3 linked regions of the Sus scrofa genome follow. The main gene of each other region encodes a partner of the protein of the gene in region 2 in a complex. Links are inferred from orthologs where the notes say so. Each region holds a gene or a part of one and is shown on either strand. Other genes may lie near its edges.

Region 1 (2,914 bases), on a different chromosome or scaffold from region 2:
TGTGTGTACATGTATAACTGAATCACTCTGTGGTACAGCAATTATCACAACCTTATAAATTAACTATACTTCAATAAAAATGAAAAAATGAAAAAGAAATTGCTCTCCAGAGATGCCATAAAGAAGATACAATCAAATGAATGATATACTTCAGAGTGACACTGGGATGTTCTTTATAATGTCAATAAAAATTAATACTATGGGTATAAGTCTACTTTAAATATGATAAATACATTTATCCTTCCTACCAGACTCTACAGACACATTGCATAATATTAACAACAGAACCACTTTAGCACCTACTGTGTGTTAGAGCCTATGCCAAGGACTTTACATTCTCTGTAATCCTTAAAATTAGGCTAAAAACCCTGACAAGGGTAGGCTTTATTAGCACAATTTTGTGAAATTCAAGACTGCCAAAGCAGAGGAAAAAAATCGTTGATATTTACAATCACTAGTAAATGATAATACAAATTTCTGAACCTTGGATCATAGGACTAAGAAATTCATAGTCTTCTGACTTCAGAAAACAATTAAGAATAAAACAAATGCAACATAATACAGATGCTTCCGGCGTGCCAAAATTACAGTATAAATTTTTCTCCAAATTTTATCTGCAAATCTAAAATGAAAAATTAAAAAGTTATAACTGCTTTCAGTTTAAATTAACAGCTTTTTCAGTTTAAATTAACAGATGCCATTAAAGACACTCCTAGCTATACGCTTGATCAGAAGACCTAATTAGCACCGTTCATAGCACACACAAAATGGAGATTTAACAAAGGCTCTCTAGCGGTCATAAAGTCTGTCTTAAAGATTCAATAGACAATTTCTAGAGCATGAGTAATCCTCCCCACTAATTAAAACGCATGAACACATCAAGTGAGTAGATGAAAACACTGGGTTTCCCTCAATCTAAGAGATGATAAAAGCTTTGTTGCTATAGTTTTTGATTTTTAATGCATATGCATACTTGCATAAGACAAAAAGATCAAAATTTACTTTGTAAAAGTATTTACAGCCCATAAAATACTGATAACTATTACCTTTGCTTTCTTAAATAATGTTTCTTTAAATAGAAGTGTTAAGTTACTGCTACAGAGCGTCAGCATCTGTTAGATTTCTCCACATTTTCTTGTAGTCAAAGGAGCTGTTAAACAGTATAATCCTTGGGAATATACAACAGCGAAATTAAATGTTTCTTCCTCCTGGGGTCATATCTCATTTCTCCAAGAGGTGAAAAGACCCAATTCAGAAATCAAACTGTCTTTCTATAGAGTGAAATTAGGCCTTCAGAGTTCTTCAGCAGCCCTCTGAGAAACATCAATTTTTCTGAAGGGAATATGAGAGGGAAAGGCAATGGTTAGTTTGAACAAAGAAACCAATCAAGTCCCTCTCTGGGGCAAATAAGAATTTCCAAAGTTATAAATCTGAAGAAAGTGAATTTTAGGTAGTTAATGAGAATCCTAATGCTCAAATTTAACAAACACCTGTGTTTTTTTCCTATTGTATTAATTATGAATTTATTATTCCTAATAAAAGTAATTAACCTACAATAGAAATGATTCATAATAGTGTGAAAAACATTGTAACTTTAGCTGGGGCAGCTGCAAAGTTCAGAAAGCATTAATTGACAGCTATGCATTGATTCCTTTACTTATAGGAGTAGCACAGAAAATAAGGCAAAGTGAAATAAAATTAGTATTTACCAGATGCCTACTAAATGGAAAACCCAAAACTCAGTGAGGATCCAGTCTAAACAAATAAGGAGAAACATAACAATTATACTAACAATTTTTATTATTACATATTTAAAGAATTACTAAACATGGGAGTTCCTTCATGGCTCAGCAGTTAATGATCCAACTAGGACTCATGAGGATGCGAGTTCAGTCCCTGGTCTTGCTCAGTGGGTTAAGGATCTGTCACTGATGTGAGCTGTGGTATGGCAACAGACGCCGGCTCAGATCCCGCGCTGCTGTGGCCGTGGCATAGGGGCATAGGCCCACAGCTATAGCTCTAATTCAACCCCTAGCCTGGGAAATTCCATATGCCTCGGGTGCCGCCCTAAAAAGCAAAAATAAATAAATAAATATTTTAAAAATAAAGAATTACTAAATACAAACCTGCCGACCAACCCTGTCAGGAGGAGGCCACAAAGCATCATCTTCCTTTGTAATTTCACTGTCGTCAATAATTCTCTTCAGTTCTTCCATTACACTCTTGTGTACATAAGCCTGAAAATAGGTTATAAAAATTTCAGGGTCTATTCTCCCCATACCTCAGAAAGAAATAATAAAATTACAAATCCTGAGTATTCAAATAGAATATCAAAAAAAAAAAAAAACCCTTAATTCTGATTCTAAAAGCACAAGTTGGGAGAAAATCATCCATCCTTATGATTTTTCTTCACTCCCTTGCCCTTTCCTTTAAATATATATTTTTCCCTCTCCACATCCTAGTCCCTTTTTAAATCTTATCCTCTTCATTTGTAACATGGACTCAAATATTTCAGAATGGTTAATGCAAAATCTACAGGGTGAACAGAGAAAAATACAAATACACATCACAGTTGATACTTTGAACTTTTTCTCACACCTAACTTTTGCACCTCTTATTTAAAATTCATACTGTGTTTAAGTCATGATTATCAATTAGTTTTAAATGACAAATAGGGTAAAAGACAAAGTTAGTTATGAATAAATTAAATAATATGCTCAAATGTGGGACTACAATTTAATATATTCAGATTGCTTCTTTTGTTGTTACAGATGCTACAACTGGAATCCCTTTTCAATCTACAAATTAGCTGCTTTTTTACAGCCTTTAATGTACTTTAAAATATGTAAATAAAAACACAGACAGGAGGAAAATGGGCTTAATGCAAAAAAAAAAATGAAACATTTGAAAAGAA
Region 2 (3,500 bases):
AAAAATAAAAATAAGGAGTTCCTGTTGTGGCGCATCGGAAACGAATCCAACTAGTAGCCATGAGGTTGTGGGTTAATCCCTGGCCTCGCTCAGTGGGTTAAGGATCCAGCATTATTGCCCTGAGCTGTGGTGTAGGTTGCAGACAAGGCTTGGATCAGGCGTTGCTGTGGCTGTAGTGTAGGCCGGCAGCTGTAGCTCTGATTAGACCCCTAACCTGGGAACTTCCATGTGCAGCAGGTGCGGCCCTAAAAAGCAAAAAAATATAAATAAAAAATAAATATTTCAGCTAACATCCTAAGAACAAGGACATCCTTGGAGTTCCCATCATGGCTCAGTGGTTTGCAAAAAAAAAAAAAAAAGGGAGTTCCCGTTGTGGCGCAGTGGTTAACGAATCAGACTAGGAACCTTGAGGTTGCGGGTTCGATCCTTGCCCTTGCTCAGTGGGTTAACGATCCGGCGTTGCCGTGAGCTGTGGTGTAGGTTGCAGACGCGGCTCGGATCCCGCGTTGCTGTGGCTCTGGTGTAGGCCGGTGGCTACAGCTCCGATTCAACCCCTAGCCTGGGGACCTCCATATGCCGCGGGAGCGGCCAAAGAAATAGCAACAACAACAAAAAAAGACAAAAAAAAAAAAGGACATCCTATCACGCAACCATAATACGATTAGTGTTGACCAGTCTTAACATCCTGCTTAAAGGCTACCCTGACATGTGCTTCCTGATAAGATGCAGCAGGAACTGCACACCACCGCCTATGAGGTATTCTCACCGGAAATTGAGATGATGAGGGGGCTGCCTGTTTCGGGGAATAGAGTTTGATTGGCACACAGCCAGGCTCATTCTTTTACATTTGGTCTATGCCTACATTCCTGCAACACTTACTGGTTGTGACAGAGACCATATGGCCCATGAAGTCTAAAATATTTACCATCTGGCCCTTTACAGCAAAAATTCGCTGACTCTGCTCTAGATATGCAGAAAACTGCCGGTTTTTGAGGAAACATAGAAGGTAGAGGAACATGTTAAAAGATACCATAGGGACATAATAGCCAATCTGGACAGTTAGAAGCTCTACATGACAAATTTGTTTCTGCAATAAATAAATGGTAGGAAAACAAAAGGAGGAGGAATTGTTTGGGTTAAAAGAGACTTAAGAGGACATTTCAAGCAAATATAATTTGTGGACCTTGTTTAGAGCCTATAAAAAAGATTGAGACAAGAGTTCCCGTCGTGGTGCAGTGGTTAACGAATCCAACTAGGAACCATGAGGTTGCGGGTTCGAGCCCCGGCCTTGCTCAGTGGGTTAACGATCCAGCGTTGCCGTGAGCTGTGGTGTAGGTCACAGACATGGCTTGGATCCCACATTGCTGTGGCTGTGGTGTAGGCCTGCAGCTACAGCTCCGATTCAGCCCTAGCCTGGGAACCTCCATATACCGAGGGAAGCGGCCCTAGAAAAGGAAAAACAAACAAAAAAAGATTGAGACAATTGGGAAAATCTGAAGAACTGGTAAGATGTTAGGGAACTACTGTCATTCTTTTTCCTAGTCTGAAAATGACATTAGGGTTATTTTATTAAGAAGAGTCTTTAGGGAAGTCCCTGGTGGCCTGCTGGTTAAGGATTTGGTACTTTCACTGCTGAGGCCCAGGATTCAATCCCTGGTCTGGGAACTGAGATCCCACATCAGGCTGGTGCTCACCACTGCCAAAAAAAGTCTTTACTCTTAATACTGACATATTTAAAGAAGAAATGATCTGTCTAGGATTTGCTTGAATATAATCCAGAAGTGGTATGATGGATAGAGTGGAAAGAAGATTGGCCATGAGGTGATAATTGTTGAAGCTGGGTGACAGGTATTATGTTGTTCCTCTGTTCTACTTGTGTGTATGAAATTTCTACAGTACGTTAGTAAAAGGACCCCCACCAAGAATGAAAAAAAGGTGCAGTTAAAGTTCATCTTTAAAAATTCTATAACAAGCAAAAAGTTAGCCCTTTCTTTTACACTTGCAGGAAGAGAAAAAAAATCCTCACGAAAATGAACAAGTTTAACAAAAAGCAGCACCTTGTTTCTTATGCGATCTCTCTTAACCACTTCTTCTTTCTTTTCAGTTTTTTCTGAGCTGCCTACTGGTTCTGTACTTTCAGTCTTCTTGGCTTTATCCCGAAGTGCTTCTTTCTCTTTTTTCATTTCTTCTTCTTTCCTTTTAAAAGCCTTCTCTTTCTCATAGCGCTCCTTCTGCCTGCGGCGCTCCTCTTCCTGCCGCTTCAGCCTCTCTCTCTCCCGCAGTATGCGCTCCTGGTCACGCTCATAATCCCGCTCCCTCTCCCTGTAGTCTCTGCTGCTCTCATCTTCAGGTCTGCACAGAAAACAAATCTGAGAATGCACCCCCGAAGATCTTCGAATCACAAATGCAGGAACACTCTGATCCTGATCTGGCCACTACAATGAGGTGGTACTTTTCGAGCAGCATTAAAAAAAAAAAATGCTAGTATTTTGAAAAACAAACACCCCAAAAGTCAGTCACCCAGATTAAGATGCTAAAATATTTGAAACCTGTCCTCCTCATTCCCCTACCCCTCGTAAAACTGGGAATCTTGATTCAGGTACAAGTCCAGGACACAGCAGTAAAACTAGCCACCTAGAAACATATCAAAAACAAATGTACCAAAGAGCCCTCGACTACCGACCTCTTAGGCTTTTCATCTTTAAATTCACCATCAGGACGCTTGGGCAGTGTACAAGTTTGCCCACTGGCTCTTTCATCACTCAGATTCTCTTTGTCCAATTTTTTGACCTTTTCTCTTTTGTCCAATTCTTTTTCATCTCCTTTTTCTGGCTTCTTGAGCAGCTTTAAAGAGAACAAATTTAAGTTTATTTTGAAGGGTGGGACACTGTCTTCTGATTCTGCCATAGAAAACAATATACTAAATATTTTCAATTTGGGCTAAAGAAGGCCCCTATCTCTGCAGGTACTCTTAAACTTTCAAGTGAACAACTAGGGCAGGAGAGCAGTAATTTGCTAAAAGGATGCTATTAATGTGAAAGTGTTATCCACTCAAATAAAGTGGTTTAATCACTTTGTGGCAATAGGATCAAGACTCCTTTGGCCTTAAATGGGTCAGCTTTTAAGTAAATCAGTGCACACTTCCAAGTATCACTTGACAGAAAAATATGCCACAAATTTCAAATGCTAGGCAGATCATTACTGTTGGACTATTTGCATGTAGTAATTAGAATGACAAATACCTTGGCCACCAAAGGAGAGATCCATTGCAGGAATAATCTTGCCTTGAGTCTGAGAGCAGTAACATACTTATAATGGTATAATCATATTATCATTAGAGATGAAAAGCAAGAATTACTTGGTATTTGTTTTAAAAATCCAAGTACCTCATATAACAGAACTGTGAAGTTCCATCTCTACTGAATAGGAATTCTGCTCAATGTCATATATATATATATATATATATATATATATATATATATATACACACACACACACAC
Region 3 (3,500 bases), on a different chromosome or scaffold from region 2:
AATCTTCAAAATTATCTTGGCTACTCTTGCCCCTTTGTTCTTCCATGAATTCTAATGTTCTGTTAGGCTCTAGGAAAAAAATACTATTGTGATTTTGATTTGAATTGCAATGAATTTGTAAATTATTTTGGTGAAAATTGATATAATACTGAGTCTTCCCAACAATAAAAATGATACATATTTTTATGTCCTTCTATAAAGCTCTTCCCCTTAAGTTTTGTACACCTTGTTAAATTTACTCCCAACTTTACTTACAGCTTTTGTTGCTATTATGAATAGAATTTTGTTTTTAATTACACTATCCAGTAGGATGTTGCTGGTATATGGCAGTATGCCTTGCTCTCTTTACAGAACAGTTGTGAATGTTAAATGAATTAATACAGTTGAAAATTTTATCAATCCTAAAGCAAAATACATCCACATGGTCTTACTAAGATCTCATGGACATAATAAGTTAACTTAAGCACTGAGGATGGACTTTTTTCACTCTTCCTCAAGAGCTGTCCCATCGTTTTGAGATTAACTAGAGTAAGCTTATATGAGTTTTCATATTAACTTAATAAATATAAGTGTTATAGAGTTTTTACTATACACTGGCACTATTTTAGTCACTAGAAATATAGCAGTGGGGGAAAAAAACAGGTAAAATCCTTGTACTGAAGGAGTTTGCACATGTATGTCTATGTCTGTTGTAGTAGAGAAGAAAAAGGGATACAAGACAATTTCAGATAAAGATAAAAGCTATGCATGCTCGGGAGTTCCCGTCGTGGCTCAGCGGTTAACGAACCAGACTAGCATCCATGAGGACATGGGTTCAATCACTGGCCTCGCTCAGTGGGTTAAGGATCCAGTGTTGCCATGAGCTGTGGTGTAGGCCGGCAGCGACAGCTCTGATTGGACCCCTAGCCTGGAAGCTTCCATATGCTGCAGGTACAGCCCCCCCCCCCCAAAAAAGGCTATGAAGACAAAACCCATACTTTTTTTTTTTAATGGGGAAAGGCATTTTAGATTGAATGGACAGGCAAGACATCACTGAGGAAATGCACTTGAAACCTCAATAACAGACAGTCTGGAATAGAATATTCCAGGCAGCCTGTGGCAAACGTAAAGATCCTAAACTTGGAGTTCCCATCATGACTCAGCAGAAACAAATCTGACTAGCATCCATGTCACATGCAGAACAATAAATCTCATCTTATCTGTTAAGATTTCTGCACTGTGGACAGTTGGTAAAACACTCACCTGCCGACCTACTCGGTCAGGAGGAGGCCACAAAGCATCATCCTCTTTGGTAATTTCACTGTCATCAATTATCCTCTTTAGTTCCTCCATCACACTTTTATGTACATAAGCCTGAAAGCAAGTTAAAAAGCAGCATTTAAATTTTATCCCTAAGCAGCATTCTGACTCAGAGAGTGGTGAAAGATTAAAAAAAGACTGCTCATGAAAACTTATTTCTGGCACCTCTGTAAGTGGGAAGACCTTCCAGCTTGACCTCAGCATGCCAAGAAAGCAGGGTCAGAAGGGCCCAAATGACTACACCTCAGTCCCACACCTAGTTGTTTCTCTTTCTTGACTCATCTTGTTCAATGGACCTGCCCTTTGCCTACCTACTAAACTGACACTTAAGCCCCAAACAAAAAAATCTATAAGTACCCCTGGTTATTCTTAAGTAAATAACATACTTCTGAAAAACAGAGACATGTCATTTGCAATACATTTTACATATTAGTTCATGTTTAAAAAAACTGTGTGGATGCGGACATGTGTGGGGAACATAAAACTGAATGCTAATTATAATAGTATGAAAATATACTAACTGTTAAGACATTTTCAAATGTGGCGAAGTGACAAAAAGGAAAGAATAACTGTGATGAAGCCTTAATGGGGTAGAACTCATGCCAAAATGAAGCACATGGACTTGACAGAGACAGGCATAGGTCTGAATTCCTGCTCAATCTCTTACCAGAGGGGTAACTTTGAACAAGCCCCATAATTAATAACTGGGCCTTCACGGCCTTATCTGTAAAAGGCTATATAATACCACCCATCGCACAGGCTTAGAATAAGGGTTAAAATAACACCACAGGTGTAAAATATCTAGTGCTATGCCCGGCATCTAACATGCATTCAATGATGCTAACTGTTCTCCCATGTGCTCGGTCCCCATTCAAATGCAAATTAAAAGAGCTCTATGGAGTGCTAGGTACCAGGGAATATACCAAAACACTTTCGGTGGGAGTTCCCATTGTGGCGCAGTGGAAACAAATCTGACTAATAACCATGAGGTTGCAGGTTTAATCCCTGGCCTCGCCCAATGGGTTAACATTGGGCTAACGATTCAGTGTTGCTGTGAGCTGTGGTGTAGGTCACAGATGCAGCTCAAATCCTGCGTTGCTGTGGCTGTGGCACAGGCTGGCAGCTGTAGCTCTGATTTGACCCCTAGCCTGGGAACTTCCACATGCCACATGTACAGCCCTAAAAAAAAAAAAAAAAAAAAAATCCCAAGAAACAAAAAACACTTCAAGTGAGGGGGAGAGTAGGTTTTCTCTTTTTTGCAGATCAAGAAACTGAGACTTGGGGAGTGGGGGGATGTGCTGGGGGGTTTGGGATGAAAATGCTATAAAATTGGGTTGTGATGATCATTGTACAATTATGAATACAATAAAATTCATTAAAAAAAGAAAAGAAAAGGAAAAAAAAAAAAAAAACTCTGAGACTTAACAAATTAAACCAGGAAATATGCCCAAGGTCACACAGTCTAAGCAGCAGGTTCAGGGTTCAAACTAAGATTTGCAAGACTTCAAATGATTACCAGTAATTGATTAAGTATTGTGGAAGAAAACATAAACTACAAGAAGGTTTGAGAAAAACTTAGAAGCTGTCTACAAATATGCCCACACTTTCCTCTTCTTTATCTCTCAATAATATTCCCAGAGAGAATACAAACAAGACAAAAGGCTAAATGGTAGTGAATGAAAGGCTCTCAGAAGACTCATTACCTCTTTTCTGATCATGACATCATTTTTGTAATTGCTGTTGTTGGCATATCTCAATTTCCCTGTGAAGGGAAAAAAAACAAATTCAGTATGTAATAAAAAGATACGAATAAAGCATCATTGGCCTACCAAGACCCTCAGTTGCTTAAAATGTATCGCAACTTTCCCTTTAAAGTGTCTAACAGTTTCACTATCTATACCTTTTGTGTTTCAACAGTACTAGTCTTTCCAGTTTTTCACTTTAGGCTATTGTGGACCTAGAATGTCACCAGACTTAAGAGTAAACAAAGGATGTTGCTGCTGTCAAGTCAAACCATTGCAGCCATACCACCCTCCAAGCCCCCCATGCCTCCCATGGTGCATCCTGAGGGGATGCAGGATGGAGAAAACAGGATATTAGCCCTAATGGTTAAGGCGCTTATCAAAGAAACGATTTCAATGTGCCCAGACTCTTGCATCTTCCCATACCTAGCAAAGTCCAAGCTTCATTAGCTTGAAATG

The links.
Region 1: UPF3B (region 2) and MAGOHB share a complex: the UniProt entries of both Homo sapiens proteins name them as parts of the mRNA splicing-dependent exon junction complex. The link is inferred for Sus scrofa from reciprocal best matches to the Homo sapiens genes UPF3B and MAGOHB.
Region 3: UPF3B (region 2) and MAGOH share a complex: the UniProt entries of both Homo sapiens proteins name them as parts of the mRNA splicing-dependent exon junction complex. The link is inferred for Sus scrofa from reciprocal best matches to the Homo sapiens genes UPF3B and MAGOH.

The regions. Positions count from the first base shown.
Region 1 is NC_010447.5:61,428,699-61,431,612, reverse strand, and holds part of MAGOHB (protein mago nashi homolog 2), read right to left. Parts: intron 2,238-2,914; coding exon 2,127-2,237; intron 1-2,126. UniProt on the Homo sapiens protein: Required for pre-mRNA splicing as component of the spliceosome. Plays a redundant role with MAGOH in the exon junction complex and in the nonsense-mediated decay (NMD) pathway.
Region 2 is NC_010461.5:98,189,136-98,192,635, forward strand, and holds part of UPF3B (regulator of nonsense transcripts 3B), read right to left. Parts: intron 2,845-3,500; coding exon 2,684-2,844; intron 2,353-2,683; coding exon 2,058-2,352; intron 1-2,057. UniProt on the Homo sapiens protein: Involved in nonsense-mediated decay (NMD) of mRNAs containing premature stop codons by associating with the nuclear exon junction complex (EJC) and serving as link between the EJC core and NMD machinery.
Region 3 is NC_010448.4:158,991,172-158,994,671, reverse strand, and holds part of MAGOH (protein mago nashi homolog), read right to left. Parts: intron 3,062-3,500; coding exon 3,003-3,061; intron 1,354-3,002; coding exon 1,243-1,353; intron 1-1,242. UniProt on the Homo sapiens protein: Required for pre-mRNA splicing as component of the spliceosome. Plays a redundant role with MAGOHB as core component of the exon junction complex (EJC) and in the nonsense-mediated decay (NMD) pathway.